Oryzias latipes: one gene and its partners. The protein of the gene in region 2 interacts with the protein of the main gene of each other region in a pairwise test. Links are inferred from orthologs where the notes say so. Each region holds a gene or a part of one and is shown on either strand. Other genes may lie near its edges. The genes, in order: bysl, zbtb8a, syntenin-1, znf276, kat5, rpl9 and rad23a.

What was found.
Region 1: the proteins of zbtb8a (region 2) and bysl interact in binary tests that used the Homo sapiens proteins (3 or more experiments, as listed by UniProt). The two-hybrid records come from large-scale screens. The link is inferred for Oryzias latipes from reciprocal best matches to the Homo sapiens genes ZBTB8A and BYSL.
Region 3: the proteins of zbtb8a (region 2) and syntenin-1 interact in binary tests that used the Homo sapiens proteins (3 or more experiments, as listed by UniProt). The two-hybrid records come from large-scale screens. The link is inferred for Oryzias latipes from reciprocal best matches to the Homo sapiens genes ZBTB8A and SDCBP.
Region 4: the proteins of zbtb8a (region 2) and znf276 interact in binary tests that used the Homo sapiens proteins (3 or more experiments, as listed by UniProt). The two-hybrid records come from large-scale screens. The link is inferred for Oryzias latipes from reciprocal best matches to the Homo sapiens genes ZBTB8A and ZNF276.
Region 5: the proteins of zbtb8a (region 2) and kat5 interact in binary tests that used the Homo sapiens proteins (3 or more experiments, as listed by UniProt). The link is inferred for Oryzias latipes from reciprocal best matches to the Homo sapiens genes ZBTB8A and KAT5.
Region 6: the proteins of zbtb8a (region 2) and rpl9 interact in binary tests that used the Homo sapiens proteins (3 or more experiments, as listed by UniProt). The two-hybrid records come from large-scale screens. The link is inferred for Oryzias latipes from reciprocal best matches to the Homo sapiens genes ZBTB8A and RPL9.
Region 7: the proteins of zbtb8a (region 2) and rad23a interact in binary tests that used the Homo sapiens proteins (3 or more experiments, as listed by UniProt). The two-hybrid records come from large-scale screens. The link is inferred for Oryzias latipes from reciprocal best matches to the Homo sapiens genes ZBTB8A and RAD23A.

Annotation. Positions count from the first base shown.
Region 1 is NC_019863.2:2,276,666-2,280,715, forward strand, and holds the start of bysl (bystin), read right to left. Parts: upstream 2,819-4,050; 5' UTR 2,710-2,818; coding exon 2,445-2,709; intron 1,817-2,444; coding exon 1,660-1,816; intron 1,563-1,659; coding exon 1,424-1,562; intron 1-1,423. Other genes in the region: med20 (mediator of RNA polymerase II transcription subunit 20), read left to right, coding at 3,016-3,029, 3,202-3,347, 3,895-4,050. UniProt on the Homo sapiens protein: Required for processing of 20S pre-rRNA precursor and biogenesis of 40S ribosomal subunits. May be required for trophinin-dependent regulation of cell adhesion during implantation of human embryos.
Region 2 is NC_019880.2:16,761,578-16,765,686, reverse strand, and holds the start of zbtb8a (zinc finger and BTB domain-containing protein 8A), read right to left. Parts: upstream 2,847-4,109; 5' UTR 2,714-2,846; coding exon 2,649-2,713; intron 2,634-2,648; exon of another isoform or gene 2,403-2,633; intron 1-2,402. Other genes in the region: gale (UDP-glucose 4-epimerase), read right to left, coding at 3,416-3,480. UniProt on the Homo sapiens protein: May be involved in transcriptional regulation.
Region 3 is NC_019865.2:5,716,928-5,721,080, forward strand, and holds the start of syntenin-1, read right to left. Parts: upstream 2,851-4,153; 5' UTR 2,683-2,850; intron 1-2,682. UniProt on the Homo sapiens protein: Multifunctional adapter protein involved in diverse array of functions including trafficking of transmembrane proteins, neuro and immunomodulation, exosome biogenesis, and tumorigenesis.
Region 4 is NC_019864.2:27,733,588-27,737,819, forward strand, and holds the start of znf276 (zinc finger protein 276), read right to left. Parts: upstream 2,849-4,232; 5' UTR 2,717-2,848; intron 2,142-2,716; 5' UTR 2,086-2,141; coding exon 1,854-2,085; intron 986-1,853; coding exon 682-985; intron 593-681; coding exon 546-592; intron 466-545; coding exon 46-465; intron 1-45. UniProt on the Homo sapiens protein: May be involved in transcriptional regulation.
Region 5 is NC_019872.2:15,162,039-15,166,015, forward strand, and holds the start of kat5 (histone acetyltransferase KAT5), read right to left. Parts: upstream 2,804-3,977; 5' UTR 2,705-2,803; coding exon 2,684-2,704; intron 2,604-2,683; coding exon 2,537-2,603; intron 1,893-2,536; coding exon 1,824-1,892; intron 1,612-1,823; coding exon 1,460-1,611; intron 1-1,459. UniProt on the Homo sapiens protein: Catalytic subunit of the NuA4 histone acetyltransferase complex, a multiprotein complex involved in transcriptional activation of select genes principally by acetylation of nucleosomal histones H2A and H4.
Region 6 is NC_019859.2:13,029,330-13,033,527, forward strand, and holds the start of rpl9 (60S ribosomal protein L9), read right to left. Parts: upstream 2,847-4,198; 5' UTR 2,832-2,846; coding exon 2,758-2,831; exon of another isoform or gene 2,698-2,757; intron 2,237-2,697; coding exon 2,190-2,236; intron 2,104-2,189; coding exon 1,988-2,103; intron 1,634-1,987; coding exon 1,538-1,633; intron 1,425-1,537; coding exon 1,292-1,424; intron 187-1,291; coding exon 106-186; intron 1-105. Other genes in the region: lias (lipoyl synthase, mitochondrial), read left to right, coding at 3,219-3,305, 3,504-3,679, 3,909-4,002.
Region 7 is NC_019866.2:22,942,503-22,946,652, forward strand, and holds the start of rad23a (UV excision repair protein RAD23 homolog A), read right to left. Parts: upstream 2,818-4,150; 5' UTR 2,633-2,817; coding exon 2,567-2,632; intron 1,909-2,566; coding exon 1,747-1,908; intron 1,643-1,746; coding exon 1,446-1,642; intron 1-1,445. UniProt on the Homo sapiens protein: Multiubiquitin chain receptor involved in modulation of proteasomal degradation. Binds to 'Lys-48'-linked polyubiquitin chains in a length-dependent manner and with a lower affinity to 'Lys-63'-linked polyubiquitin chains.

The DNA of each region.
Region 1 (4,050 bases), on a different chromosome or scaffold from region 2:
TCCCCTGGGAGCCCTGTGAGAGTCATGTTTTTTTGATTTCTCCAGTGCTTTCAACACCATCCAGCCATCACTGCTGAGGAGGAAGCTGGAGGTTGCAGGTGTGGACCAACATCTGGTTGCTTGGACCATCAACTACCTCACAAACAGACCACAGTTTGTGAGGCTGTGTGTCTGATGTGGTGGTCTGCAGCACGGGGGCACCTCAAGGGACTGTGCTCTCCCCACACCTGTTCACCCTGTACACATCGGACTTCACCTACAACTCCCACCACTGTCACCTGCAGAAGTTCTCAGAGGACAGTGCCATTGTGGGCTGTGTTTGTTAAGCTAAGCTAACATCCATCATGGATAACCCCTCCCACCCCCTGCACCAAACTGTAGAAGCGCTGACCAGCTCCTTCAGCATCAGACTGTTGCACCCTCAGTGTAAGAAGGAGCGCTACCGCAGGTCATTCCTCCCCACAGCCATCAGACTGTACAACACCGTGTTATAGTAGCTGTGTTTACATGGGCAAAAGTAATTGGAAAGAACACCTGAATCGGAAGGAAAATGTGTCATGTAAACACACCGTTCAGAATACTCTGCCCTGATCAGACTCGTTTGGATCAAAATGTCTTTCCGATCGAGATAGGTGGGTTATGCCGATTGTTGATCCAATCGTGTTACATGTAAACAGTTCATTCCGATCGTGTCACTACTGCTCTGGTTTAACGTCACGCATAGACGGTGTATCGCTCCAGAGAAAGCTTTGGAGCGCAAACAGGACCAACCGGCTGCTCTGCGGAGGACCGGTGAGAACCGCCGCTCTGCTCTCGCCCTGCTGGCTCTTCACCTCTCCCCTCTCTTACACCCCTCACGAGGGGGCTGCGAGGGGGAGCGCTTCGTGCCCCGTGACGTCTGGACCCTGCGTGGTCCGGGCTCGGGTGCCGGTGGACGGAGCGAACTGTGTCTCTGAGCAGAGCAGCCGGATTCATAACTTTGTGTTTGAGGGGAGTGTTTGTGTTCATCAAAAAAGGCTAATGTTGTTAGCGCGTGTGTTAGCCTCTCCAGGGTTCTTCCACAAAAAAAAGCACTGACCACACGGATTAAAATTAAAATGATGAGCGAACAGGCGCTTCATAATATTCATAACATTGATAAAAGCACGTTTAGAAGATCGTCTTGTATATTACCGAGCTGCTGCATGAATGTATGTGGCAGCTCGGTTTGTTTACTGTGGGACCCATTTCCTCTTTCGGTATTTTCAACACTACTGCTCATGCTCAAATGATTTATTCCAACCGAAAGTGTGACCCATGTGAACGTTTGTTCTAATCGGAAAAAGGTTTTCTGATCCCATGTACACGGTTGGATTTTAATCCGATCCAGATATTTTGCGCATGTAACCGCGGCTTATGTCTTCAATAATATAAGAAAGCTCACCTTTCCCACACCTCTATAAACCTCTGTAATTCTGGGGTCCAGCTGAGGCATGGGGCGCCCTGACACCTCCGACATCACCGTCCCCACTTCGGTCTGCTTCTCAGTGATTTTCTCCATGATTATGTCTGCCAGGGTCCTCCTACGAGAAAGAGAAACATGTTAGTAGGGACAGAAGAAACTGGCCTGGTGGTTTCTGTTTGTTGTTGTTGGTTAGTCAGAACTGCCATGTTTCTTGCCTCATTGGTGGGTTTTTATTCATGAACATCTCAATGGCCTTTTCGTCTTCTGGGTCTACAATAATTTCAGCATCACATTCGGTTTCTGCCGCCCCAGAAACTGCTTCTCCCAGTGCGGGCCACTCTTCATCCGAGTCTGCATCCCCAGATTCAGGACCTACAGTTACAGGAGTGTTTAGAACTCACATAATGAAAAGATGCAGATCTAGATGTATGGAATCACCCAACTAACTACAGAAACGAGTAAATGAAAACATTATTACTTCTATTTTTAAGTATTTATTTACTGAAAGTATTTTAATTTGGAGTGTTTACTAAAACCATCATTAGTGAACAGTTAACTTTATTTTTAAGTCATAGCATTAGTGCATCCCTTAGCAAAAAGTAGTCTATTTAAGTAAACTACAAGTATACTGTCTATACTAAAAGTAAAGCAGTAAACTAGAATTTTCTTTTTATATACATTTAAAATTTTCCAATAAAAGTCTGAAAAAGTATTCAGTTACTATATGTCCTACACTACACGTACATGGTCTATACTTGTACACTACTACACACTTATTACTCAAGTATCCTTAAGTAAACTTCAAGTGTACTTGTCTTTGTTAAGGGTAGATGGGTCTGAATTGTGATGAATCTGTGATGCAACTTTACTAAAGTTGGTCATCGTTTTCTTCGGTAAGAAAAACTAGAACAAGAGAGAACCTTTAGAAACCTTAATCAACGGCTTCTGTTTGATCATTTTCTAAACTGAAGCGGATGTCCTGGTTCTGATCCAACATTACCAAGAACAGTGACCGGTGTCGCCTTCTTCTTCTCCGGTACCAGCCCATATTCGGTCTGAAGCTCCTCTTGCTGAATTCGGGCTTGCTGTAGGATTTTCCGCGACAGCCGCTCGTCTACGTAGGTGTCGTCGCTTTCTGGCCGCTGGTCTCTGCTCTTAACCCGGTTGCGGGCTCGGACCGTGTCCGTCTGCAGGATCTGGTCAGCCAGCGCCACGGATCCAGAGCTCTTTTCTCCTCCACCTTTAGATTTCTTCACTTTCGGCATCGCTACAGCTCCAAAAAAATTTACAAGCTAAAGCCTGTCTATGCCTTTTTAGTGTGTAAACACCCAGCTGTTTAGCACGTGCGGACAAACGGCATGCGCGACAGAGGCAGCGGAAATACATTACGTCACATCCGGTTTCATTAAAAATGTTTCGAAACATTATATATGAAAGAACCTATGTTTATTAACTGAGTTAATCAGTTTAACTCAATTCGTCTATGTTCACTTGTATTTTTATTTTATTTTTTCCTTTACCGGAAGTCAATTTGTTTAACCGGAAGTAGTTGCGAAGGAGGCAAAACAAAAATGGGAGTAACTTGGTAAGGAATATTTTGGCTCATTAAAGTGTAATTATTATTTCAACATAGTTTGGTTTCGCTATGTTTATAGGACCTGTCTATTTCAAATGTTTGTTCTTTTGGGGAAAGCGTGCTCCTCCCCTTCATGGATGCGTTGGGTTGTCGCTGCTCAGTCGGGTGTTTTGTCTTTCAGTGTTTGTCAGGTGCCCATAGCGGAGGGCAAGAGTGTGCAGCAGACCGTGGACGTCCTGCAAAAAAAGCTGGAGCAGCTCGGTTCTGTGAAACAAGGCAGCTTCTGCGTGGATTGTGAGACATACCACGCCACGGGAAACGTTGTCGGTAAGCTCGCTACTTTTTCAAGCATCACGCGGGAAACATATTAGTAGTTATTTATTCATGTGGTAATTAGTTGTGGTTGCTTAGACCTTTAAAAAGCAATTAAAAAAAGGTGATTGGCATATGAGCTCCGTTTGTGCCCTTGCATTTAATTGGTAGCATTTTTAACAAGAACATTCAGGGCTTTTGCTAATTCTTCCTTCAGACACATCTGCAGTAAATATGGGACACAATTAAGCATACATAGCCACTTTATCTTATGTGTGTTTGTCAAATTATCTTGAGAATATTTTACAAATTAGATAAGGGTCCTATTAGTTCTACTGGAGTGTGACGACAGATCACCCCTTCAGCTGCACTTTAATGGCTCTGGCCTTTTATGGTAGAAACCATCTCAAAGCCTTACTATAAAACCAAATATTGTTTAAGGTTTTAGACTTTAAAAACCTTTTTTACATCAATAACAGATGTGCCTTTATTTGAATCATGGATGTGGAGTTTATGTATTATTGAGTTGAATGCATCATCCAGTGTTTCCCGTCTGTCACAGGTCAGCCCTCCAAGCTCTTATACGTGATGCATAACTCTGAAACCCCTCTGAGCTGCATGGCCCTATTCGAAGGAGGACCCTACTTAGTAGCTGATGCTAACTTTGACGTCCTCATGTCCAAGTTAAAAAGTCATTTCCAGAACGCCAAGGGACACA
Region 2 (4,109 bases):
GTCACCTGGTGCATCTGGCGCTCCGGTGCCCCCCCCCCCCCCGGTGGCAGAGACACTCTGGCGATGCAGCGCTAGACGTTTTTTATGCCTCGACTTTGATGTCCGACCATTCCTTCTTTATTTCGGCCACGGTCCGAGGTTGTGAGGCTACAGCATTTGGCGTCTGCCACCGTTTGCCACTCAAGTGCCTTTTTGGCATTAGTAATGCCCACACTGTGCCCTCCAAACAACATTTCCTCCTCTTTTCCACTTCACCAACGATAACTTCTACTTCACATTGAGTGAAGTTACGTTTTTTTTCATTTCCTCTCTGTGTTTGCCATGATTTCGCAATCCATGAATATTCATTTGTGGGCGTTTCGCGGACTATTTATGGGCAACTATGGGCGTGTCATGAAGCCGCAAAAGCTGCGCTGCATTTAGAATTGATTGTGATTTATTAAGGGAAAGATGCGTAGGATGTGCGTGCGCACGGTTTTATAAATCTGAATATTTCTGTGCGTACGCACGTCCTATGTTTCATCTGTACGCCACTTCTGACGCAAATCCTACGCAAAGTTTTATAAATGAGGCCCCAGGTTATGTTATGAGCATGAGTTGCCATGGCAACTTGACATACCCTGAAACATACCTCCATTTCTGGAACAGATTATCAACTTCCTTAGCCTCAAACTTACCGTGGGAGCTAGCATAACCTGCTTTCTGGAATACCCCCCAGGACTGCATATTCAGACTACGCCATGTTTGCAAATATATCATTTGTGGCCACAAATTAGTATTTTGTACACACAAATAAGCCTTTTGTGGTCACAAATTAGCATTTTGTGGATACAAATTAGTAATTTATGAGCATTTTGTAGTCACAACTTAGTATTTTAAAAGGCACGGGGGAAATGTACAGAGCTCTAAATGAAACAAAATTTTTACTCATTTAAAAAATTGTAACCATGAATTAGTATTTTGTGTAGACAAATGACCATTTTATTATTTTTTTACATTTTAGTACAAACAAATGAGTATTTCAGTATCTTCAAGTTCCAATACTAACTTGTGCCCAAAAAATACAAATTCATTGCCTCAAAATTCTAACTTGTGCGCACAAAATGCTAATTTGTGGGCCAAAAAAAATGCTACTTTGTGTGTAGAAAATACTAATTTATGGCCAAAAATTAATATTAGCAAATAAAATAGTATTTTAGCATCTTCAAGTTACATTACTAATTTGTGGCCACAAAATACAAATATTTGGCCACAAAATGCTAATTTCCCCCTTAAAACTCTTATTTGTCCCCATGAAATACTATTCTGTAGCCACTAAATGCTAATTTGTGCAAAAAAAAACTAAAAATACATGTGAGGGAACCATTTATTTATTTTTGTAATGTCATTTCCAAGGCTCCGTTATTTCGTGGCCACAAATGAATATTTAACTATAATTTTGTAGGAAAAACTAGTGGCCAAAAATTAGTGTGCACAAATTTGTGTACACTAATTGGCATAATGTGTGCACAAATGTGTATTTATTGCACAGAAATTTGTATTTTAAAGCCATATTTTGTTAGCATTTTGTGCACACATGTATTTTTCCCACAGAATGTTGTTTTTGTAGGCCACAAATTAGTAGAAGGAACTGATCCTCAAATTTGTGCACAAAATATAAATTTGCGGGTTCAGGGCTCCATAGAAATGTCAGTAATTAAGTAGCTATTAAAAAACAAGCATAAGATGTCCTAAAGTTCTACTCTGGCAGCATCTTTGTGCAGTGGATCATGTTGAAGGAAGACCGGCCCACCGTTCTGCGCTCTGATTGGCTGGGTGATCCATCAATCAGGAAATGCTTTATAATGGATTACACCCGACTCTATCAGGAAGGGCGGGTAACAAACCCTTTATTTAACCCTGTTGGTTAAATGAATGATGAATCAAATATACTGTACAGTTATAAATAAAGATTTCTGCAGCTAATAGAAGCCATTAAAAAAAACAACGAAAGGCATACTAATAATTTGCCTAAAGCTCATATTTGAAAGACAGACTACTTTATAAAAACCCAGCAAGTCATTTTTCCTGTCTGGACTGACTTGATGGATTTAAATGCGTCCTTCATTATCGCGATACGCCTCGAAAAGCTCCGCAGCGCCCGATAACCCTCGGCGAAACACCCGCCTGAAACACTCCGGTACTTCAAATCACACTCAGAACCGAGTCTCGTGTGTTAATCGAGCAATTTCCCCTTCGTTCGGCCGCGCGCGACCTCCAAACGGACACGAGAACGCTGCAGTCCTACGAGAGGAAAGCGGGTAGCGGCGATCCGGAGCAGCCCCGTCTGTCCTGGAGCGACGCCCACTTCAGGCTCCAGCCAGCACACAATGGAAAAAAAAGAAAAAAGAAAAGACACCGACCTCCTCCAGCGGCGAAGCACGCCGCGAGCTCAGATAAACATGTCCACACCACGAATCAGTTTGATGAAACAAACGCCCGTTTCCATCCGCGAGAGGCGCCCCCACTCCTCTCCGGAGGTCCGGAGCACAGCGAGCAGCTTTCGCCTGCTGCCCGGAGCGAGCGACGCCTTCGCAGGCGCGAGGTGTCGGCAAGGACCCGCTGACGCCCTGATATATATACCCCGTCAGAAAAGCATCGATACTCACTGGTGACTGGATTCACCCGCCGCCCGGCACACTCTACTTGCCCCTGCATCTACCTCTATATCCATTTTTTTTATTTAAATGATTATTTGTGCCTTTTCTGACCCTCCCCCTCCGCTTTTTATTTCTCCCCGTCCAGGGTCCACAGCCAGGCACTTCCTGCTCAGCCCTAAAGACCGAAACCCGGTCAGAGAGACTGGAGCTCCGTGCTGACGTGGGTGTTTATTAACAGGGTGCCCGAGGGTTCAGGGAGCCATTTAAAGCCCCAGTGCCTTTTTACAGGAACAGCACGTACCTCAGCCTAAAAACGACCATACCCACTCGAGATCACGCAGGAATTCATGCTCACCTTACCATGATTTCCTCCAGTATCCTCTTATTACAACATATTTCTTTCTCCATCCGTATGAAAAAAAAAAAACCCCACAAAAAATAAAAAAATACAGCACCAATAATCTTAAAGAATATGTCCTTAGGGGTTTTTCCAATTAATACATTTCAAAAGAAAGCACAATTTTACTGTTAGAAAATTATTTTATTCATCATTTTTATGGCTTCCATAATTATAAAGTTAAGAAAAGAATCCCTGCTGTTCAGAAACAACCAAATAAAGACAAAAAATCTGTTGAATAGATTTTAGTTACAAATTCCAAAAATAATAGAAAGAAATTCAAATTTGAGGCCTTATGTTGCATTTATGACATGACAAAAAAATAGTATCTGCTTTGGTGGATTAACACAAAATAATCAATAACACCCCCCAGCATTCATCAAGAGCTGGTGCTCTTGGAAAATCCAGTGGGGTTCATGGACTGCCAGCGCCACAGATCTGCACCTGAATGCAAATGAGGAAGAAAAAATAAAGATGGCACAGATTATTGAAAAATGATCGCAGCTAATTGAATGTATTTTCTGCAGATTATCAGACTGCACGGTGTGATGGAGCCATTGACTGTATATGAGAACTGGACTGAGGTACCCATCCCTGCTTGGGTTCTAAACAGGAAGTACCTGCTGACTCCAAGAAGCCATAGACTTCTATAGTAAAATAAAGTAGCTATTACTCAGTCATTATATCTGGCAGAATAACCATTTTTGCCCTAAAACCTTTTTTTAACATGTTCTTGCTAATCCTATTTTTTCTGTAGTTATTTAAGTTTTAAACTGGGCAATCAGATGACTCAGAGGTCTCAGATTGAACGTTTGATTGACAGATTCTCCCGAGCCCACTTTCAAGTGGTAGGGGTGTGGCCTCTCAACAAGCTTTCTCCTGATTGGCCAGAATGGTTTGCCATAGAAATGATCACTCAGATCGACTCGGACCATCACTGCTTACTGATGTTATCTGGCTCCAACGTGCCAGTGTCCGTGTCACGAAAAATTGAATCAACCTTTTTTCACTGGAGCCAGAAGTAAGTCACTTTCTATGAGTGACGTCACACTCCGTCCAGTTTTAATTTAGAG
Region 3 (4,153 bases), on a different chromosome or scaffold from region 2:
CTGGCTCATCATGAAATGCTGTTATGAAAGACTTAATTACGTTTTTCTTATTAAAAAAAAGACAGAAGATGCAAAAATACTAAGTAAAAGGCAAGAAAAATTTAGCTTAGACAGAACACGTTGTACCCAAAGTATTCATCATGTATACAGTCTATTTACTGATATAGTCATCTCACATGGCATGTGTTTACGATCCAAGTGCCCGACTCTTAGTTCTCTTCTTCTGCATAGCTTCCCGTTTCAGACAGGAGCTCAATGGTAGGAAATGATAGGGACGTTTGTGTCTCCAAACAGGTGCTGTTAAAGTAAAGGCGGATGTGTTTTACACAATGTGAGATCACGAGAAATGCCAGGTGAAGTTTGCATTCTCTTTTTATTACCATTTGCGTCAGCAGATCTTATTAGATAGAAACGTGCAGCTGTTAGATCAAGTTAATGCTGCTTTTTAGGAACCTTTTTATTTTATGTGAAAACGTTTCAAATCCTCCAAAATCCGCAAAGGAATCTCAACTGATCAGAATCTATCCACCAGTTCACACACAGAATGACACTGAAACAGCGCGGTCTAATCAGGAAAAATCATGTGACACATAGACAGGAAAAGACGCTGGAGCAGGACTTTTAACATGTCGGTTAAGACCAAAGAGGCCACCGTGCAGCACTAAGTCAATCATTATATCGATGTGCATTAGGAGGCTGATGTAAAGTATGGTTCTGAGATCAGAGTAGCTCTTCTGTGAGGCAGACTGTCAGCTTTGAAGAGCTGCTGCTTCAAGTGTGAAGATTAGAAACATCAGAGCTACAAAAACAGGTCCTACAATCCAGTTTATGTAGAGAGCATAAATCAAGCAACAGTTGGTTTTTTAACATCACTGAGGGCTCACTCCATTCTGCTCATCTCAGTCCTCCAGGACAAGTGCATCATTGTGTGTGTGTGGACACAGAGAGGCCTTTTTGTTAACCTTCCACTGTTTACTCTTCAGCTATGTGTTTGCTTGCTTTGTATGCCTCTCTCATACAGACTCTCTGGCTGAACATGAATACGCCTGGAAACAAAACAGCAGCATTTGAGCAACCCTTCAGATGACATAACAGGATCATTGAGACGTCTGCCACTGCGACGGAAAACAAGGCGCAGATCATTTTACTGAAATATACAAGAAGGAACCCTTTCTGAAGGAGGTTAAAAAAGTTTTTTTTATGGATTGTTAAGGTAAAGATTTCTGATGACGGAAAATATATATGAAGGTCACATTAACAAGTGAAGGTTAACATGACAAAAGAATTTTCTTTTGTTTCAGACTGTTAAATATGTGTGTACTGGTTTCCTGTTAGTTTTTTTAAAACAAATGTTTCATCTAACTTGCTTGCAAAAAAAAGTCAAGAAACTCAAAGTAGTGTTATATTAGGAGGAATGCCAAAGAAAGCTTGTGCAAAGGCTCAGACACACCAGGCCTGGCATGTGTTTGCTCCCATTCAACATATTTTGGTGTGAGCAGCCCATTCAGCAGAACTCGATCTAAAGCTTCTGCTTTATTCTGAAAATCTAGCAGATTATTCATTTACTGTTTTTTTTTTTTTTTTTATAAACTTTACTTCTACTTGAGTCTATAAATATAATGTCAAACTAACAAATTCCTTTAAAAACATGAACGGAAAACAAACAAATGAAAACATGTTAAAGCAGCCCTTAACTTCTAAGAATTATATTTGGTTTGGTTTAAGATGGACTCACCACACACTTAAAATAACCAAAAATGACAGGCTTAAATAATTAAAAAGGTTTAATTTATAAGTGATAGTTCATCCCTGTTCTTACCAGTGTTGTGCCTCAGTTCTTATAACAATTAGCTTATTTTTTTTCTTATTAACCATTAGCCAAACTTTTTGAGTGATCCACTTTGATTGGAAACTTGAGATATACATTTTTTTTATAGTTAGCCACTCTGATATAATTATTTTTCCTATTTTAAATGATATAAGCTTTAAATTTAAACTCTTATCCTATCAAAATAATACATTTTCACTGATCACCATTTATTTTGATAAAGGTACAGCCGGAAGAAACGAGAAACATGACTTATTAAGACTGGAAAGGGGGAAAAAATGCTGACGTCTTCGGGAATCAAGGAAAGAAAAAGGGGAAACTAAAGCAAAAGCATTCAAATTAATTGGCCCGCGTGCTCAAAACTGAGAACAGTTGTGTTGATCAGACACTAATCTCCACAAAGGCCGCTTTGGGTGGGTTTTTAAATAAGTTAACAACCCACAACACTATAAATAAATCAGCAGAATAATCAAATTCTTTATACTCTTGTGATGATGATATTTTAAAACAGACTCTCGTTTCGAGGCGAAGCTAACTTGAGACGCGCGAGATGTTCCTGAACGTTACCCGAAACTGTACACACATATAAGAAGCAGCATTGTTGATATAGAAAACATATATTTTTCACGTTCATAAATACAATAGCATGAGACTGAAGCGAGCGCGTGGATTAAAATAGAATAAAATTTGAAGAAGAAGGAGCTCAAAGAAGCGTCTTTGTTCCGGCATAAACAGCTAGAGGGAGGTTAGCTAACGGCGTTAGCATGTAGGTAAAAACAGAAATTCACCTCAGTTACAGCTACGTACGACAGATGGCCTCGCGGCGATACTTAAAAAAATTAAACATAGCTCACCTGTAGATGTGAATTTGTTTCAAAGTCCAAAAAAAGATGAGCACTCCGTTATTTTCTGCCTCTTCGGTCTTCTCGTCGCAGACACCTTAAGGGGACTTCTAGAAAGTGACGTCACTGTTGGCTTCCTGCTCCTGTGCACCATGTCAATCACAGCTGACGTTATAAGACACGCCCAGTTTCAGTCACATGACCCCTGACTCAGGCTGGTTTTATGAAGGTCTTGTGACTGAACTTCTGTGTGATATAAGGTCATAATAAGTGATACTTATATAAATTAATGTTAGAAGAGAATTGTGTTAATTTAGCTGATAAATTAAATTCCCAAATGATCTTTGACGTGTGTGTAACTGTTCAGTGTTAGGCTTTTCAAGAATGTCTCTGGAAAAAGTTTGTAGATGTTCCAAAATCCTCCATAACCTAGGGCATTAGAAGCATTTTTTATTCTCTTTCCATTTTCTTACATTTTTATACTGTTATAAACCAACATTAGTAATATTTTTTACATCAAATTTCTCCTGGTTTTATCTCAGATGTTGATGTTTGTTTATTACAGTTGTATGACATAGTCTGATTTTGCTGGAGGTTATTTATGAGTCATTCCTTCCGACTGTCACCTCATGCAGGCTTAGTAAAAAAAAAAAAAAAAACACCTTTTATGAGTTGATAGGAGCTCAGATTTGCACACGGTCTCATGGATAAATATTCTTTTTTTTTTTTTTAGGCGGATAAATCCATTTGTCAACCAGTTGATAATTGTTCTTTCTTATTAATGAAACTACACAGTTAAAGTTGGTATGCTCCAGTCAGCTACACTTTAAGCTCCTTAACTCTCCCCTCTGCACCCTTTGGGTGACTGTAGAGATTATTTATGTCTGAAACGTAGGAATAAAATGTCTTTATTGCATTTATGTATAATCAGTAAACATAACTGTTTAAAAAAAATATGTTTACTCTGTTTTTGTGAGCAACATTAACATCATTTTGATGTTCCAAAGGTTGTGGTCGTATTAATGTCTTCAAAGACCTGTGCTCTGCTTTTTCACATATACAGTGGGGCAAAAAAGTATTTGTTACTTATCAATCCTGCAAGTTGTCCCCCTTAAAACGATGAGAGGTCTGTAATGTTCATCATAGGTAAACTTACAACAATATTGCCTCTGGTGTCCTGAGACAGCTCTTAGGTATTGGTCGCGGAGACGTGTCTTTTACACAGGTAACCAATTTAAACTCGTGCCATCAATACAGACCACTGAAGGATGGAGGAGCTTCTTACCTTATATAACCATTCATATTATGTTAGATACCTGCATTTCTGAGAACCCTACCGCATTATCAAACTTTATTTAAAACCCATTGTATAGAACCTGGTCCATGTTTTTTGTTGTGGATCATCATTTCACCTTTTTCTGTTCATTTCCAATTGGCTGCTTCCATGAAATCTCAAAAACACTTGACAGGGATAATGTTGCTA
Region 4 (4,232 bases), on a different chromosome or scaffold from region 2:
GTGCATTTAGTGCAGCCGGAGGACTTTCTGAAATGCAGGTCTCACCTTCACTGCTGCCAGTCCACTCATCCGGAGCAGAGTTCTGCATCTGCACTGCAGCTGCAGGTAGACCACTCTGACGCTGAGAGCTCACATCTTCCAATGACGTCCTTCCATTCCCAGGAGGTTGTTTTTCCTCCTCGTCATCCTGCTCCTCACCCGACAGTTCTCCATCACCGATGCCCCTCCCCAGATCTCCACCTTTGAGGCTCTCTGCGCGGCTTAAGCATGGAGGAGGGGTGTAGCGAGTGTCCATGATGTATCTGTGACCGTCCACGCAGCCCCACACAGCCTTAACAGAGCCCCAACACTGGCCCTCCAGCACCTCCTTCAGGTCGGGGCAGAAGCGGCAGGCTTCCCCGTGGTGGTGCGCCCAGGACACCAGGCTGTGGAGGCACTTTGGGTCTGAGGTGAAGGAAGATGGAGCTGAAAGAGTGAAAATGAGTTTGAGTAAATGAACAATTCACCCGTTAGAGCCAAGAAGAGAGAGAAATGTTTTCCTTTACTTTTGGAACTGTAGTTCATTGTTGACTCTGGACACTTTGCATTCTTCCTGAATAACATGCAAAAAAGATATTTGTGTATAGCTCTGGATTTGTTTAAATAGTGACTCATTAAACTTTGGTTTTTGTTCTGACTCACTGGATTTTTAGATTCTCCTTTCCAACTGGTGGGATGTTTACTCTCTGGAGGAACCGGATCAGGATGCCGTGGCACTTGTAGAACTTGGCGTGGCATTTTTTACAGATAAACTCCGACAGCCGAGGGTCCCGGTCCAAGCGGACCCCGACCAAGCGCTGGAAGTCTGAGTGAAACAGAAGGGGCGACTGGGTCGCAGCGCCAACTGTGTCCGGGGAGTCCTGAGGCAACTTGTTGAAGGCGTTCCGCAGACTGCGAGGGGAGAACTTCCCATGGCAGAGTCGACAGACGGCAGCAGACAGTCTGCCTGTAGATAGAAAACTATTACATTTACAGCTTTAAACGGCATTACTGAGATTCTCCTGAAGTTCTTTAAGGGATTTTTCTTACACCTGGAAAATATTTTGTAGATAACCTGTGTCCTTTTCTAAGACATCGTTTCTGCAGAGCAGCAGTAGTTCAATAGGAGCAATCTCACCCCCTTTCCCGTCACCCATTACTCTCTGTTGACACGCACTCACCAAAGCCCCTCACACCCCCAACCTAAGATTAAAGGGCGATCAATAATGGAACTATCCAGCTGTACAGCTTTGATCCAGATGCCAGTTCAGATGAGGAAAACAAAAACGTTCATGGGAAACTAATTTCCAGTAATAAAAAGAAAAGGCTAAAAAAAACAGAAAAGGTAGGTATTATACAGGTATGACATCACTGATTGGATGATAACCTTTGTTCACCTTTTCAACAGGAAGTTATTTGTCATGATATCTTCAGACAGAAGAGATTTCTTTAGACTTCTGGCCACAGTCACTGAAAAAGTGAATCAACTCTTTAACACAGTTTTTTTTTTTCAAACTCAAAGGTCATTATCATCTTTTTGATTTCTGGAAATTACTTTTATTTTCCACATTTTTTTTGGGGTCTTTTTTTACGTTTTGGTTTCTTTAATTTTGTTTTAATTTCTTAATTGTCGTGATTTGTTTTTGCGTTCGGAGATTTGTTCATCTGATTTGCACTTCAGGGCCACCGTAGTTTCCACATTCTATCTTTTTAAAACTTAGAAATGAGTATTAACAACAACTGCCAACAGGAGGCACACGAGTAGTGGCTGCCATTTCCAGCTGAAAGAGCAAATCTTCAGCACCTGTGAACCCCAGCTCCTCTGTGAGACTCACCTGTAGAGCTGCACATGCTCTCTGCATGTTTCTGTGCTTCGTCAGCAGCCACGCTGAAATTTGTGCTGGCGGTTTGATGTGTTTCTGCGCCGTCACAGCCGTCTGCGGCGGCAGCTTGACCTTTTCTGGGTCTCCTTTTGCTGCCGGTGGGCCTCTTCTTCTCGTTTGTTTCCCCCGTCGTCTGCAGCCATGGCGACTCTTTCGATCTGGGGCTTCTGCTTTTCTTCTTCATGCCTTTTATTTAGGGCTGGACTGTCAGCAGCTGCTCTTATGATGGAAAATCTGCTGCTTGAGTTCAAATGAAAGCCACATATAGTTATGTAATAAATGTAAATAAAATTAAAAGGCTTAGCTCATTAGGATTGCTAGTACTACAGCATCTGTTAATATTTTTTTTATTTTATAGTAAATGAATATAATTACACTTAGTGAAAGGTTTTATAACTTAAAGGTTAATGTTTTAAGATTTCAAATGACTACATTTAAAATTTTTATGATAAATTACTCCCACAACCCCTAAAGAAACCTCACGTCACTATGATGATACTATGGTTCTTAACTTGTTTTACATTCACGTTGAGCATTGGGAAATATTTTATTTTCACAGCCTTTAAACACAAATTATTATTTCTTATATTAAATGCTATAAATCGATGCTGTAAAGCTATTCTTTTACAGAAAATAAAAAAAATCATCAACAAGGGTCGATGACATGAACACACAGTTAGCATTGCATACAAAAACATCCCGTTAGCCCAGCTCGGTTAGCCTCTTACTCTTACTGAGCTTGCTCCGAAGGTTTTTTTAACTCCAGAAAAACTACAAACTCCTGAAGCTGCATTCAAACTAAAAGCGAAGCCTACCTTAAAGGTGCATAAATCCTATATCACGAACAGCATGTCGTGTTTTATCCAGTCTCATAAGATACTCATATTCTGCCTCAGCTCGTTTGTAAACATTGTTCCCCGGAAGAGCAACCAGACGGACAATCGGAAACATGGAGCAAACAGCGCCACCTAACGAGCAGGTGGACAAACGAACCGAACGGTCAATGCTTAAACCTGATGCGTTTTACAGAATAAATGCCTTTTTTTAAAGCAAATTATCAAATAGTAATTTGGCATTTGGAATTAGAATTAATTAATTTCATCTGTTAAAGAAAGAGGACAAACAAAAGAGATATAAATCTATACATTGATATATCGAACTTTTTTTTCTTTTCAATTCAATTCCTTTATTTTAAACACAAATGAAAATAAAGAAAAAAAGGGGTTACAATAAAATAGTCTGGATTTAAATGAAAACAAAAAATAAAATACATACTTATCCATGTGTATACTTCACACATAGACATATAGATTATGCTATTTTAATTTCTTTAAATCATAAATAGACATATTTGTACTTATACAAACGATACATGACACAAAAGATATATTAAATGCGAAGTTTTTGAAAAACACTTTAATGAATTACTTGAAAAGGAGTGGGAGGATAATCCTTAATCAGTTTATATCAAATCAAATCAAATCAAACTTTATTTATAAAATAGCGCTTCTCATGCACTTTGTGCAGCTCGAAGCGCTTTAACACTAAAAACAGTAAACACACAACACTATAATGTAAAACAAAACTACTTTTGTGAATTTTTTAAATACAGTAATAATAAAACCTGCTTTTATTACTTTTCTTTTAATCTACTTTAAAATCCTTGTTTTATGTTTATTAATTTTGGTTTATTATTCTGCCAAACCGCCTGGCACCTCCGAAGGGGAAAGCAGTTCTCTGCAGGCACCGTTTTCAGTGCAGGTGGGGAGCTGTTGACTTCGACTGGGGACATTGTGGGGCGGTGGAAGGAATACTTTGAGGATCTTCATACTGACAAGCTTTCTTTTGAGGAAGCAGAGGACAATGACTTTGGCGTGAGGCTGTCAATACTGGACCAGCTCTACACCCTCTTTAGGGTGCTGGAGGGTTTGTGGGAGTTCGCTCATCCAGTCTATATGTGTTTCGTGGATTTGGAGAAGGGATTCAACCGCATCCCCGTGGTATCCTGTGGAGGCTGCTCTTGAATTATAGAACAAAAAGTGATGCAGCTTGTTACACAACAATAGACCAGACCTGTTCTAGAACCTGCTCTTGGATGTCCCACTGACACCCTGTCAGGATCAGAGACAATTGTAGCCCCATGAGAGGGTGCCACCCACAGGTACAGAGCACGTTGAAAGTCCCAGAGTTTTTCAACTTTCCCTTCTGGTTGGCACTGAATATTAAAATATTATCTGACTCTTTCAATCCCCTTGGTCGGTGACAAAGTCAAAGGACAAAAGCTTTTGGACAAAATTCAGTGGCGGCAAATGATGATTAGGAAGTGATGTA
Region 5 (3,977 bases), on a different chromosome or scaffold from region 2:
TGCTACTTAAAGATTCTTCTCATTTCTAGAAAGTTATGGTCTTACCAAGTTTTTCCACACACTGCTTCAGCAGTTTAATAACTTATTCAGGAAATAAAACAGTAAAGAATATTAAAATATGTTCTTTTTTAGGCACAGCATTTACATGAATAAATTATAAAATATTATAGTAATTAACATGAATATTGCAGAGTGCTGTGCTGTTGCATTTTGCCCCGTCAGCCCCAACATCTGTTTGCTACTCCTTGTGCTCTCAGACAGACAACTTTGACCAAACTGAGTCTCAGTTTTAGGGATAGCTCTCCGGTGCCACCATACTTTGGTTCTAGAAAATAAGTCTGAAACATGGACTGAAACATGAATCCTCACTGTTATGCAGTCACCTCACAGAGCACAGTTTGAAGAGAAAGCAGACAGCGCAGTGATTTAGGTAATTTAGAGACAACCCCCCCCTGAAATTATAATAACATTAAACTTTAACTGGCAAAATTTCAAACTTTAAAGAGAGTCCACAGCTCAAATAAAGTGTGAGGGTTGAGTTTTAAGGAGAGAGTCAATATCAACTCTACGGGGCGTTATTTATCCATTTAATTATGAGAACTATTCATTTTTTTAAGTAACAATTGATTCAACAATATCATTTTATTCCAATTTTAGTTATATTTGTATCAGAGGCATCTTGAGTAAAGCATCAAATAAATCTTGAACATTTGCTTTGTTGAATTTGATTTTTAACCATTTTGTTTCTCTGCTTTGAAGCTAAAGGAAGAATTCTAATCTACTTAAGTTTATAGCCTGTGTCATTTAGAAGAGAAACAGGGCAGCAACTATTGTCAATGCATGCTGTTCAAGAAGGATTTTGTCTGCAAAACACCTAACCCAAATATGTTGCAGATGACCGACATTGCTGAGTGTCGACATAAACCTGGTCTGTCTGTTTTTCATCAGACAGAATGAGCAGGAGACTGCAGAAGCTGCTTTACCAACTGACTTACAAAAAACCCAGAGATGCCATTCATGCTTTTGCCGTTCATGCTTTTGTTGTGATTGTGTGTGGCCCTTGAAATAGTGAGCAAAGACACATTTTCAAAAGAAAACCAGACTTAACAGCATACAGACAAAACTTTCCAACTATATATAACTATATATATACACTATATATATGTAGTGCTTGACAACACTCATAAAACAGAAACAGATTATGATAAAAAAAAAAAAGGTCCTAAAAACAAGCCTGGCAAGTATGCAAGTATGTTTTGTTTTTGTGACTGGAAAAAAAACCTGTAGATTCAATTTTTTATCAAAAAAAAACTCAACTTCAATAAGATGGAAACTAAGCAGTCAATGAAAATAGTCTTTCACAACCAACTGTTTTCCAACAGTACTGTTGGGGAACTGCCGTAAACATTTAAATGTAGTTTACTAATGCTTTATTATGAATCTTCAAGGGTAAACTTACTGGTACTACTTCTCTTTCTGCTCTTTCTGGTGAGCTAGGACGCGAGCCTGACAGTCCATTCTTTGTGGGTGTTTTTGCTTCTTTTTTGGGAAACTGGAGCTTCTTCATGTCCAGCCTGTCTGCTGTGACCCATTCATCCAAGCGCTTGTTGACTGCAGACACACACAATTTTACATTACCAACTAAAAGACCAACTGTTATGAAAAGATTATTTTTTTCCGTCCATATGAAACACGACCGAAACTAGAACGTTCTTTATGTGTTTGGAATCACTTTTGTTTTTTCTGAAACAATGACATGAATGAAAAGTCTAAGCTTTCTTTAATGATAGTGAAACAGGAAAGATGAACTTTGCTTTACTCACAGTCAATGTAGTGAACATAGAACAGCTTTCTTCCAGAAACCTCCTTCAAACTCAGGATCTCAGCCAAAGCTGCACAAGTAGAAAAGAAATTATAAATACTATTTACAAAGTAAACACACAGCTATTTTATCTTAATTCAAGTGGAAAATGAACATTCACAGTTATAATTAGTGCAAGAGTGGTTTTGCTTTTTAGCGCCAAGATAAAAATGGGTATTGCTTACTTTAATCACACTGATGATGTGTAACAAAGCTAGTACTTTGATTTAAATAGCTTGGAACTACCTCAGGAATTCAACAAACTAGATGAACTTATGCTCTTTTAAGAAAAAACATTGTCATCTTTAACTTCAGCTCTCATGTCTACATGATGAACTGTACTGGACAGCAGTGAATTATCACAATTTATACAATCCTTGCGTATGAAACTCAACCTTTTTTTAAATTCGTAATTTAAAATGTAGGGCTTTTGAAAAGCAAAATGTAATTCAGACTTATCTAAATTTCTAGTGTTTAAACATTGCGACTAAATGATTTCCAGCCCAAAAACACAAATAAAGAAGTAACAAAGCAATTTAGACCTAAACGAACAGTTTCTACCATAGCAGTCACTGCATTTTATCTGAATTTGTTTTTAAGGTTTTTTTGAAGGCCGTCATATTTGTTTGTTAGTTAGCATTAGCTTAGCTCTAAGCACGAACGAAAAGTACTTACGCCACTCATCCTCATGTTCCTGGTTTTTACGAAGAACGGGGAGGCGACAGCCTTCCACAATTTCGACCTGTTGATAAAACAGCAGATGTTAGTATCCAATAGTAGCTGTTATTTTTAAAAACAATAATATACGTTTCCATAACCTACCGAAGAACAGTTGTCCGCCATTTTCGTCGTTGGTGTAAGCTGCTGCAGTGTGTTGTGGGAAAATGCCGGTCCACATCAAAGACGTAAAACGCAGTGAGACTGAGCATGCGTCGCTAAGCGGAAGTTATGGAGCCAACCCGGAAATTTTTTTTTTTTTTTTTTTATTGATGCAGAACAAAAGTGACATACAGCAAAAGAACAAGGAACAATAAGCTGTACATCAAATGTTCAAAATAAACGCCAGGGGATATGCAAGCAAAAAAATAAACTTACACTAAATTATACAGCTGAGCAAGGTGATACGTTTTAATAGCTTTTTTGTTTGTACTGGGGGAAATGGAATGTAAGTAACATCTAACTTGGGCTAGTAAATCAAGAAAATTAGGAGCTTTATTGCTGAATTTAGATTTGTGAATATAATACTTGGTTAATAAAATTAGAAGATTTATTAAATAAAATTGAGATAAAAATGTCTTATCATAATTAATGTAACCAAATAAGATGTTTTTCCAGGTTAAATTAAAATGTGGATAAATTTGAGTTTTTATCAAATTTGTCATTTTGTCCCATATTTTTTCAGTGTACTTGCAGGTCCAAAAAATATGCACCAACGTTTCCTCAGACTGAGAACAGAAAAAACAGTTTTTATCAATATCCCTTTTTAGCCTTTGCATATACTGATTTGTTGGATAAAACCTATGAATGATCTTGAATGAAACCTCTTTCACTTTGTTGTTTAGAAGATATTTGTTTGGCAGAAGCCAAACCTTTTCCCAACACATTTGACCATGAAGTGAAGTCCAGAAAGTTATGGCCGGGGATTCAGTTTTGAGCTCCTGCTGGAACAGTCTTCGGATGGTTTTGTTTTGATTTCTCAAAGCAGAGAAGCAGAGTTTTCCGACAGCAGTGTCTGTCACATGAAGCTGTGGTTGGGGAGCAGATGGAGTAGGAGTTCCTTTATAAAGATAGGTGAGGTTGAGGGAAACGGCATCAAAAACAACCGAAAAGTCCTTCATAGAAACAGGGATCTGGTAGAACTGAAGGAATTCGGTGTAAGTGTAAAGTTGACCTTGTTGATTGAATAATTGACTAACTAGTCTGATATTATTATCAAACCACTGTTGGATAAAGATAGTTTTGTTTTTGTAAAGAATATATCTATTGTGTCAAATGTAAAACCTGTGAGGAGAAAAATTATGTTTATAAATCATGGACCAAGCAAGTAACATCTGTTTATGAAATGAAGATAGTTTGATGGGCACTTTGTCGGGCTTGTAGGTGCAGAGGAGTAAAA
Region 6 (4,198 bases), on a different chromosome or scaffold from region 2:
TCAGTTGAGTCAACAATTCTTCTCCGATTGAAATGAAGACAAGATAGAACCAAGCCATATGATAAACTGCTAAAGAAAGAGTTTAAAAAACCAAAAGAAACGTACCAGAGTTTGAAACCAACTCAATGTCATTACCCTCCAGGACGAGTTCATCCTTCTGGGCAGCAGACACTGCACACATCACACCTGGAAGAAGAACATAGTAGTTTGAAGACACCGTGACACACTGATATGAAAAACCAAGAAATCTCAACGCGTCACCGTAACCTCAGAGAAATCTACTTCTGCAGGTAAAAGTGACATAAGTCAATGAAAAACGGGATTCCAGCAACAGCTTTGCTCTGAACAACCTTTGTGTGACTTTATAGTGATTCACAGATGAAGCACAAAGCAAAACCTCCACGAGTAGTTTACCTTTGTAAAGCTTACGAGCCAATAGGTCAATTTATGATTTATTCATTATAATTGAATTATTTGCATATGGATGTATGCATATGTATATACATCTTCTAATCATTTTATAACTAATTATCCCAAGTTTCATATCTTTCTCTCTCTCTCTATATATATAATTGGTCTTCACAGTAAATCGCAAATTTATCTTTATCACAATATCAAGCTGCAGCGAAAATTGCAATAAATGGCTACCTTGAATGTGCTAAAACACTCCTATGGCAGCTTGAAGTATTTAACGTATCAAATAAATCAATTTCTGCATTTGACCAATCAGATGGACGGCTTCACGTTGTTGACCAATCAGATGGAGCTCTTCTGTTAGATGCTCACTTCCTATGTAGACGAGGGTCATTTGGAGGGTGATTTAAGTAATGTTGACTCTTATTGAAATGAAATTGTTGTAGTAAAGAGGAAATTATGTTTTCGGTTGTTTTGCTATTTGTTCATGTATCTTAAGTTTGAATTTGTTTTGATTACTTGAAATAAACGATATCCAACTCCAGCTCAAGACTGAAAAGGATGTCCTAAAGCAAGTTTCATGACTAAAGAGGGCAGCATAAAGGCAACATTTTAATGTTCCCCTAAAATATACCAAATAATGATCCATCTCACACAGATATAAAAGGTAAAAGTAAATAAATAAAAATTATTAATAAAAAACGAAAAACTGAAAATAAGTCTACCAAATGTGCTTTGAGTTATGGCAGTTATTTCCCAATCATAACATACAAACTTACATTCAAGACAGAAGAAAGTAAACATAACAAGGTTAAGGAAATACTAATGCATGCGTCTTTTTATGCTCTTTGCCAACTGAACAATATTCCAGACTCACCAGCCCTCATTCTGACCCGGCGGATGTACTTCTCTCCCAGGAAGTTCCTGATCTCCACCAGCTGTCCATTTTCCTGAATGACCACGTTGATGGGGAAATGGGCGTACACAGAACGCATTTTATACCGGAAACCCTGCATTCAAACAAAATAAAACTGTTTTAGACGAAAGCAGGGTAACCACCAAACAAAAGTCAATCAGGTCTTTCCCAAAGACCAGGCTGTGCTCTGCTGGAAAGACGCCTCACCAAAGTGACGCCTTTGATCATGTTCTGAACATGGCTGCAGATAGTACGGACTGTGGCCAGCTCCTTCCTGTTTCCCCACCATTTATCCACACGAAGCTGAGGATGAAAACAAGCTTTGTTTGTTTGAAATCACTTCCAGATTACATCCAAGACTTTATCTTGAAAGAAAAGATCGACTATCGACAACTGAGATCATGTAAAATATTTCACTTTAAAAGAGAAAAAACAGCGCACAATTAAACAATTCTACCATATTTCATGTAAGCAACACATGGTGGAATTTACCTTAAAACAATGATTAATCAATTGCCCAATTTTCTTGTATTTGTTGTAATTTGATCAGGTTTATTAATGTTTCAAATGTACACATTTTGTCGTTTTTGTTTCCAGGCCTGATGTAAACAACAGCGGTTTCCATTTCTACTCGGTGAGTTCTAACCCATTTCTTACCTTCTTCTGTTTTTTGCCGAGTAGGCTGAGATCCAGATTGATGTGGTTGAACTCCCTGGTGAGCTTGCCACGGGGCCCCTTCACAATCACAGTGCGCCCCTTTAGCCTCACCTCGACTGCAAAACGCAGAAAGGAACAGTCAACAACCAGACTCCCCCGCCCGGATGATGATCACAAACTCCAGGTGGGTCAAGTTTCTCACCATTGTCAGGGAGGTCCACAGTCTGGCTGCTGAGAATGGTCTTCATTCTGACGAAAACCAAAAATAGTTTCAATGATTAGCTTTAAAGTAAAGGCTGGTGGTTTCTATTCAAATGTTTGTCTGAACTAGTGTGTACTGTTGGTACAGTACAACTCAGCTGTGCTTAGGTCAATCAATGTAGCCGCACTACGTTGACATATGCTAGCTATAATAAAGCTAACGGGCTACAGTACAGGGACATAAACGACTTTTAAATGGAAACTCCGGTGTAAGTATTTTCTCATGCCCAGAAACTTGGTGACCCGCATGCGCTAAATAGTCAAACACTACTGTGTCCACCGTTGTTTAGCCGTTAGTACCAATTCGGGGCTAGGCCTTAGAGTCAGTCTGCTAAAAAAAAGATGTGTGCATATCTTTCTTTACGCTTGCAATGGAGTGAAAATTCCTGTGATATTATGAAAATCAGTATTTTAAGCGACTTTATACTTAAAAAATTTTCGAAACCAACTTTTAATCAACGAAGATGAAGTTAGATTACACTCTGGCGACAAATTCTAGACATCCTCACCTCGCCGGTAGCAGAGGAAAGGAAGCCGGATGGACGTCACGACGTAATTGTAGCGCACGCACGTCCCCAGACATTACGTATCGATCAACAGATTGATCAAAATAGAATTTTACATCCATATGAAGGCCAAACGAAAACAACGTGGTTTAGATTGTAAAATATGGTTACATTTGACGTTTGTATTAAGTCATCGCTTTATATTATTTTATTTAGATACGCTCAGACAATCTAAAATTATAGAACGCAATCTCATATTTACATTTTGATATAAAAAATAACCACTAGCAAAAGCTAAAATTTCATTTAATAAAAATAATTGAACTTGAAGTCAATATTCTCAATGTGTGCCGGAAAAACTTAGTTTTCCGAGTGAAACCAATCACGCGAATGCAGCACCAGACATGGTAGTCGATTACCGATCTGTGTTGCTTACGACAGTTGTATGCTAGCTAAACAAAGTCATGGCGTTACTTAAACAAAGTTGCTGTATTGCAGGCCGCTTCTCCACAAATCACATATGGTTGAGTCCTAGTAGATCCATTCCACATGTGAGTATTTCTCATGACTGTTCGCATCCCTATCACGTTTTTAATCACAAATCTTTGTGGTTTTGAAACTTACTAGTTTGTTGTATGTTAACTCTCAAGGGCAATAACGTGTTTGTAAAAAAAAAAAAAAAAAAAAAAAAAAAAAAAAAAAAACACAGCGAAACAATGTGTGCTTTTTGTTTCTTTTTTTTCCTGCAGATTTCTACAAACAGTCTGGCAACCACAGCCAGATCCCCCTTAGAGCCGGTTGACCGGAAGAAGGCGCTTCAGAGCGACGATGGTCCTGATCTCCAGGACTTCATTTCAGGAGATCTGGCGGAGAAATCCAAGTGGGCAGATTATAAAGGACATCTGAAGAGGCAGAAGGGAGAGAGGTAACATAACTCTTAGACAAAACAGGGCTTTCAAATTTGACTGCAGATAGTGTGTTGAAATTTTCTTAATGTGGAGTTTTATAAATAAATGAGCCTAGTTTTTAGTCATCTAAAGTGAAGACATACATTCTTTGTTTGCATACTCTTATCTTTTCTACATAGCCTGTTATTTCACAACTTGTTGCTGTTTCTGTATTTAAAAAAACAAACTTTCTCTGATTCCTTTCAGGCTGAGGCTTCCCCCGTGGCTGAAGACGGAGATCCCCATTGGAAAAAACTACAACCAGCTGAAGAACACCCTGAGAGATCTCAACCTGCACACAGTATGTGTTATGGTTATAGATTGTTCATATGCTGGAAGTGTCTAAAACCTCTGTTTACCAGATCTCAACATGAAATTTGACCATCAAATACGGATGATAATTGAGTTTTTCTTTGAGAATTTTAGGCTTTTAGTTGATCATCATTTGTAGTTTTTTTAGTTGATCTTCTTTTGGGGGGGCGACATGAGGGATGCAA
Region 7 (4,150 bases), on a different chromosome or scaffold from region 2:
TTTCAAAATAAAAGCTAGTTTAGCCTCCACTCAATCAACCCCTCCTGCTTTCACCGCCCGGGTGGTAGCCTCCTGCTTTCCCTCCTAGAAGCCTCCTACTCTGAAAACTTTGGAGGCCCCTGTTTAACAGCAGAGAAGTTATTAGTGATGTCCAGATCTGATCACGTGAGCAGAAATCAGGCCGACTGAGTCGTTTCGCATTGGACTGGAAAAAATAACCCCGATCAGGACATCCCTCTAAATTTACTGAATAATGTTGGATTTTACGTTTAGAAACTAAACGAACTTTAAGCGCTTCTGTCCCCCGAAGTAAATAAATCTATACAGTAAAAGTGTTTTTATGTAGATTAAAAAATTGGACAGATGTTCATTTCACTGAAATAAGTTCCGGAAAAGTACCGTAAATTCCGGACTACAAAGCGCACCCAATTACAAGCCGCACCCACCCATTTTCACGTGTTTAACTACTTTTCTACATACACAAGCCGCGTCGGAGTACAAGCCGCATGTATTAGGCAACATTGTCATCCTGACAAATCACGTCCTGCCTCCCAGAGTAAGTGTGATGGTGGATTTTTTCACGCTGCTTCTAACGATTGCTTTTAACTTGAAAGCTTCATCATATTGCAGTGGCGATCACGTGCACGTTGGGTCTAATGGCACCAAAGGATTCTGGGATGCGGCTGGGCATGCGTGTTTCGTTTGTGGAACCATGACTGAAGTGTCTAAGACCTGAAGTTAGGTCCATGCTGTTTGGCTGCCTAGACGTGTATTGAAAAACAAATGACTTGCCCTTGGTGTTAGATAGAGAATTCTAACCATTCACTGTGTCCGAAAGTACGTACATGGCGGCCGCCAAATAAAACCATAAATTAGCCTCGTCACTGAATAAGCCGCACGGCTGTAAGCGCAGGAAAAAAGTAGCGGCTTATAGTTCGGAAATTACGGTAATTGTTTTAAATATGGTCGATGTTATTCGCAGGCGTTTACGTGCAACCAGCACAAAAACTGATGGAAAAACATGTGGATCACACGAAAACCATGTGGCCCAAATACACATTGCTGCACGTATTTGAACCCTAACCTTACCTGTAACCATAAGCCCTGCCCTAATTACGGTGAAATAGTCACTTCCTTTAAATCTAATTGTCGATTTAAGTAAAAAATGTGATACAAAAGTTAAGGATATTATGAAAATCTTGTAAATGATTTGCAAAGTCATTGTAACTATGATGGAGACGTCAGTGTCTGAATCCCGCAAAACAACAAAATGATGTTTGTTTTTGTTTTGTTTATAAAGAAAACAACAGCCGAACTCACTGCATTCTGCTGAATTAAATGCTAAGTCATCGTACAAACCCGCTCAGATTTAAGTGACTTCTTTCCCCATTTCGTCTCCCTTTTCTACCAGCTGACACCGGCGAGCGTGGCGGTACGCCTGTTACCTGGCGGGCTGCTGTGGTTCTGTGGCTTCGGCACTTTGCTCCTGTTTGGCCTCCTCAGGAGGAATAGGGACAGCTGCAGGGGTGGGTGCAGCAGGAGGATTTGAAGGCGGGGCAGCGGTTGATGTGGAGCCAGAGTCCTGTGCGGGGGGCTTGGGGGCTTCCGGGGCTGGTGCCGAGGTCGTGGCTGCAGGCTTAGCCTAACGTGTTCAGAAAACAAATGAAAACGTCAGAGGAACTGCATCCAGACGCGAGTCCGCTGCACACATAAAAAAAGATAAAAAGCTGGACCATGCAGTCTCACCTTGGATACCATCACTACAACAAAATTCTTCTCATCGATTTTGTAGTCTTTGATTGGCGTATCGTCTTGCAAGATTTTCCCGGCGTATATCAGCTTCTGCCCAGAAACAGGAAAGTTGTCTTTTCCTCGTTCAGCCTCTATCTTCTCCTTCAAGGCCTTGACCTGACACACAAGAGGGCAGACATGATGGTCGGACTACCCGGAGGCAGCCTATCCTCAACACCTGAAAGCCACACCCCAGCCGCCTCCATGCGAAAAAGGCCAAATCTGGAGCACCAGCGTGTATTTTACTTTTGTTAGACATCTAAACAGTAGAAGTTAACCCAATCCATCTAGGCTTCCAGAGCTGGGCTATCTATCAGGAGCTAGGCGTGATTGGCAGTGTCATGATGAGCATTTAGAGCACGCGCATCATCCTTCGTCACCACCAGCGCACTGACTGAGCGTCTCTGATTCACACATGTTGGTGGTTTTACCTCATATATTCACAGCCAAAAAGGCCGCAACAATCCTCTGTCAGCAACTTCAACTAGTGACAACCAGCTTTCAGGTGGCGGCCCAATGACTCTGTTAATTTTAGCAACATTAGCTTGAAACCTAGCTTAGCGAGGTAGCTTCAGCGCGTAAAGGAACAGGTGTGTTCTTAATTTTAAGCATTTTTTGTGTGGCTTAAATGTTCACACAATTCAGAAATTAATTCGATGTGATAAAAGTTAGTTCCTTTCACTGTACCTGCTCTATGGAGCTGTCGGGTGTGCACGCGGAGCTAAAAGACAACTCCGGTGCTGGAAGCTAACGCAGTTAGCTGTTAGCCACTTACCGTTTGTTCGGGGTCTATTTCAATCTGAATCGTCTGCTGCTGCAGCGTTTTCAGAGTGATCTGCATGGCGGCGTCCGGTGTGCTTCAAACTGGAAAAAGAGCGGCGCACTAAAGGAAAAAAAAGTCAGTCTGTGTCTCAGGTTCGCGTTTTGAGTAAGATAACAACTAGCCGAGAAATGTGTGTATCCATGAGCACTCAGCAAATCGCCATCTTTGGTGACAAGTTACGGGCACTCCTGCTTGGAGGCTGTGAGATATCGCGAGAAACCACGAGAGGGCCAGCAGCACAAAAGCTTTAGAAAACAAGCAAGACAAACACACGCGCACAGAAATCACAAGACTTATAACTTTTTAACTATATAGAAATACATTCTGATCATGTTAAGTGCCTGTGAGACTCAAAGTCCCACTTTGATCATCTTTTGATCTATTTTCAAAGCGTTCCTGGTGGTCTTTTAGTGACGATTATGCTGTTTTTAGACAAAAAAATTCAAAAACCTGTGTTGATTTCGTGGACGTAGTTCCTGCAAAGCAGCAGCAGTTCATTAAAAATTCACCTCTAAGTTTGTAGGAAACACTTCTGGTGCGGAGCTACCCAGGCCCCCCTTCCCATCACCCTTCTGTTTACATGCTCTCCTGCTAGCTTACAGCCCCACACAACCTAACATTATCAGTGCAACAAATATTGGTGCTGACCGGCTTTGAGCCAGACGCCAGCTCGGACGAGTAAAACAAAGATGTAGCCTACATGGATCTGGTCTACAGGCGGATGCATCAAAATGCAGCAAAGCAGTGAGTTTGTGGCCCCGCCCAGTGTATTTTCTAGGTCACAAGTATCCGTGTCACAGCTACAAGCTTTCTAAGATGGCATTTTTTTTGTCTGTTCCAGATTCACAAAACTTTTATACACATCATGTTCTGACCCATCCCCTGGGGGAGCGGTGACACAGCTGTGCTCGGGATCCCCCCCAATTTGAAGCTGAATTTTCTTTATATGTGTTCTCCATTGTCCGAAAAATGCCACAAGAACAATTTAAAAACCCCACTTTCATTGGGGTGGGTCTTTGAGTCTGAAGCGACGTTTACAACGCCAAATCACTACCAAATCCGAGTCCCTGATTGGTCAAAGTTTGACCTGGTTAACCTTTCATCACACACAGTCAATGGTCGCAAGTTTTGAACACAAAAACCTATAGCTATGCGTGATGCGAGACGCCCAAAACACGCATTTACTTAAACTTTGCATTAGAAGGAGCCACATAACCATAAACTTCATCGTGCTGTAAACTTCTTTTATTCATCATTGGGTATAATATTAACTCACTCTTTGTTTATTTCCTCCTGATTCAGGCACAGTGGATATCTGCATTCACACCTGGAGGGCCTTTTTTCTGCACAGCAGACTTTAATGCCACTATCACACGACCAACACAAACTGGTTCAAACGAAAGGACTTTGGTGTCAACGTGTGTCAATGAAAACCTAGGAGAAAGGGATTCTTTGGGTATCTGCTGCATAAAAGAGTTTAGGAAGTGATTTTAAAAGACAGAATTGAGCACTTTGAACATGATTTGTGTGTCAAAT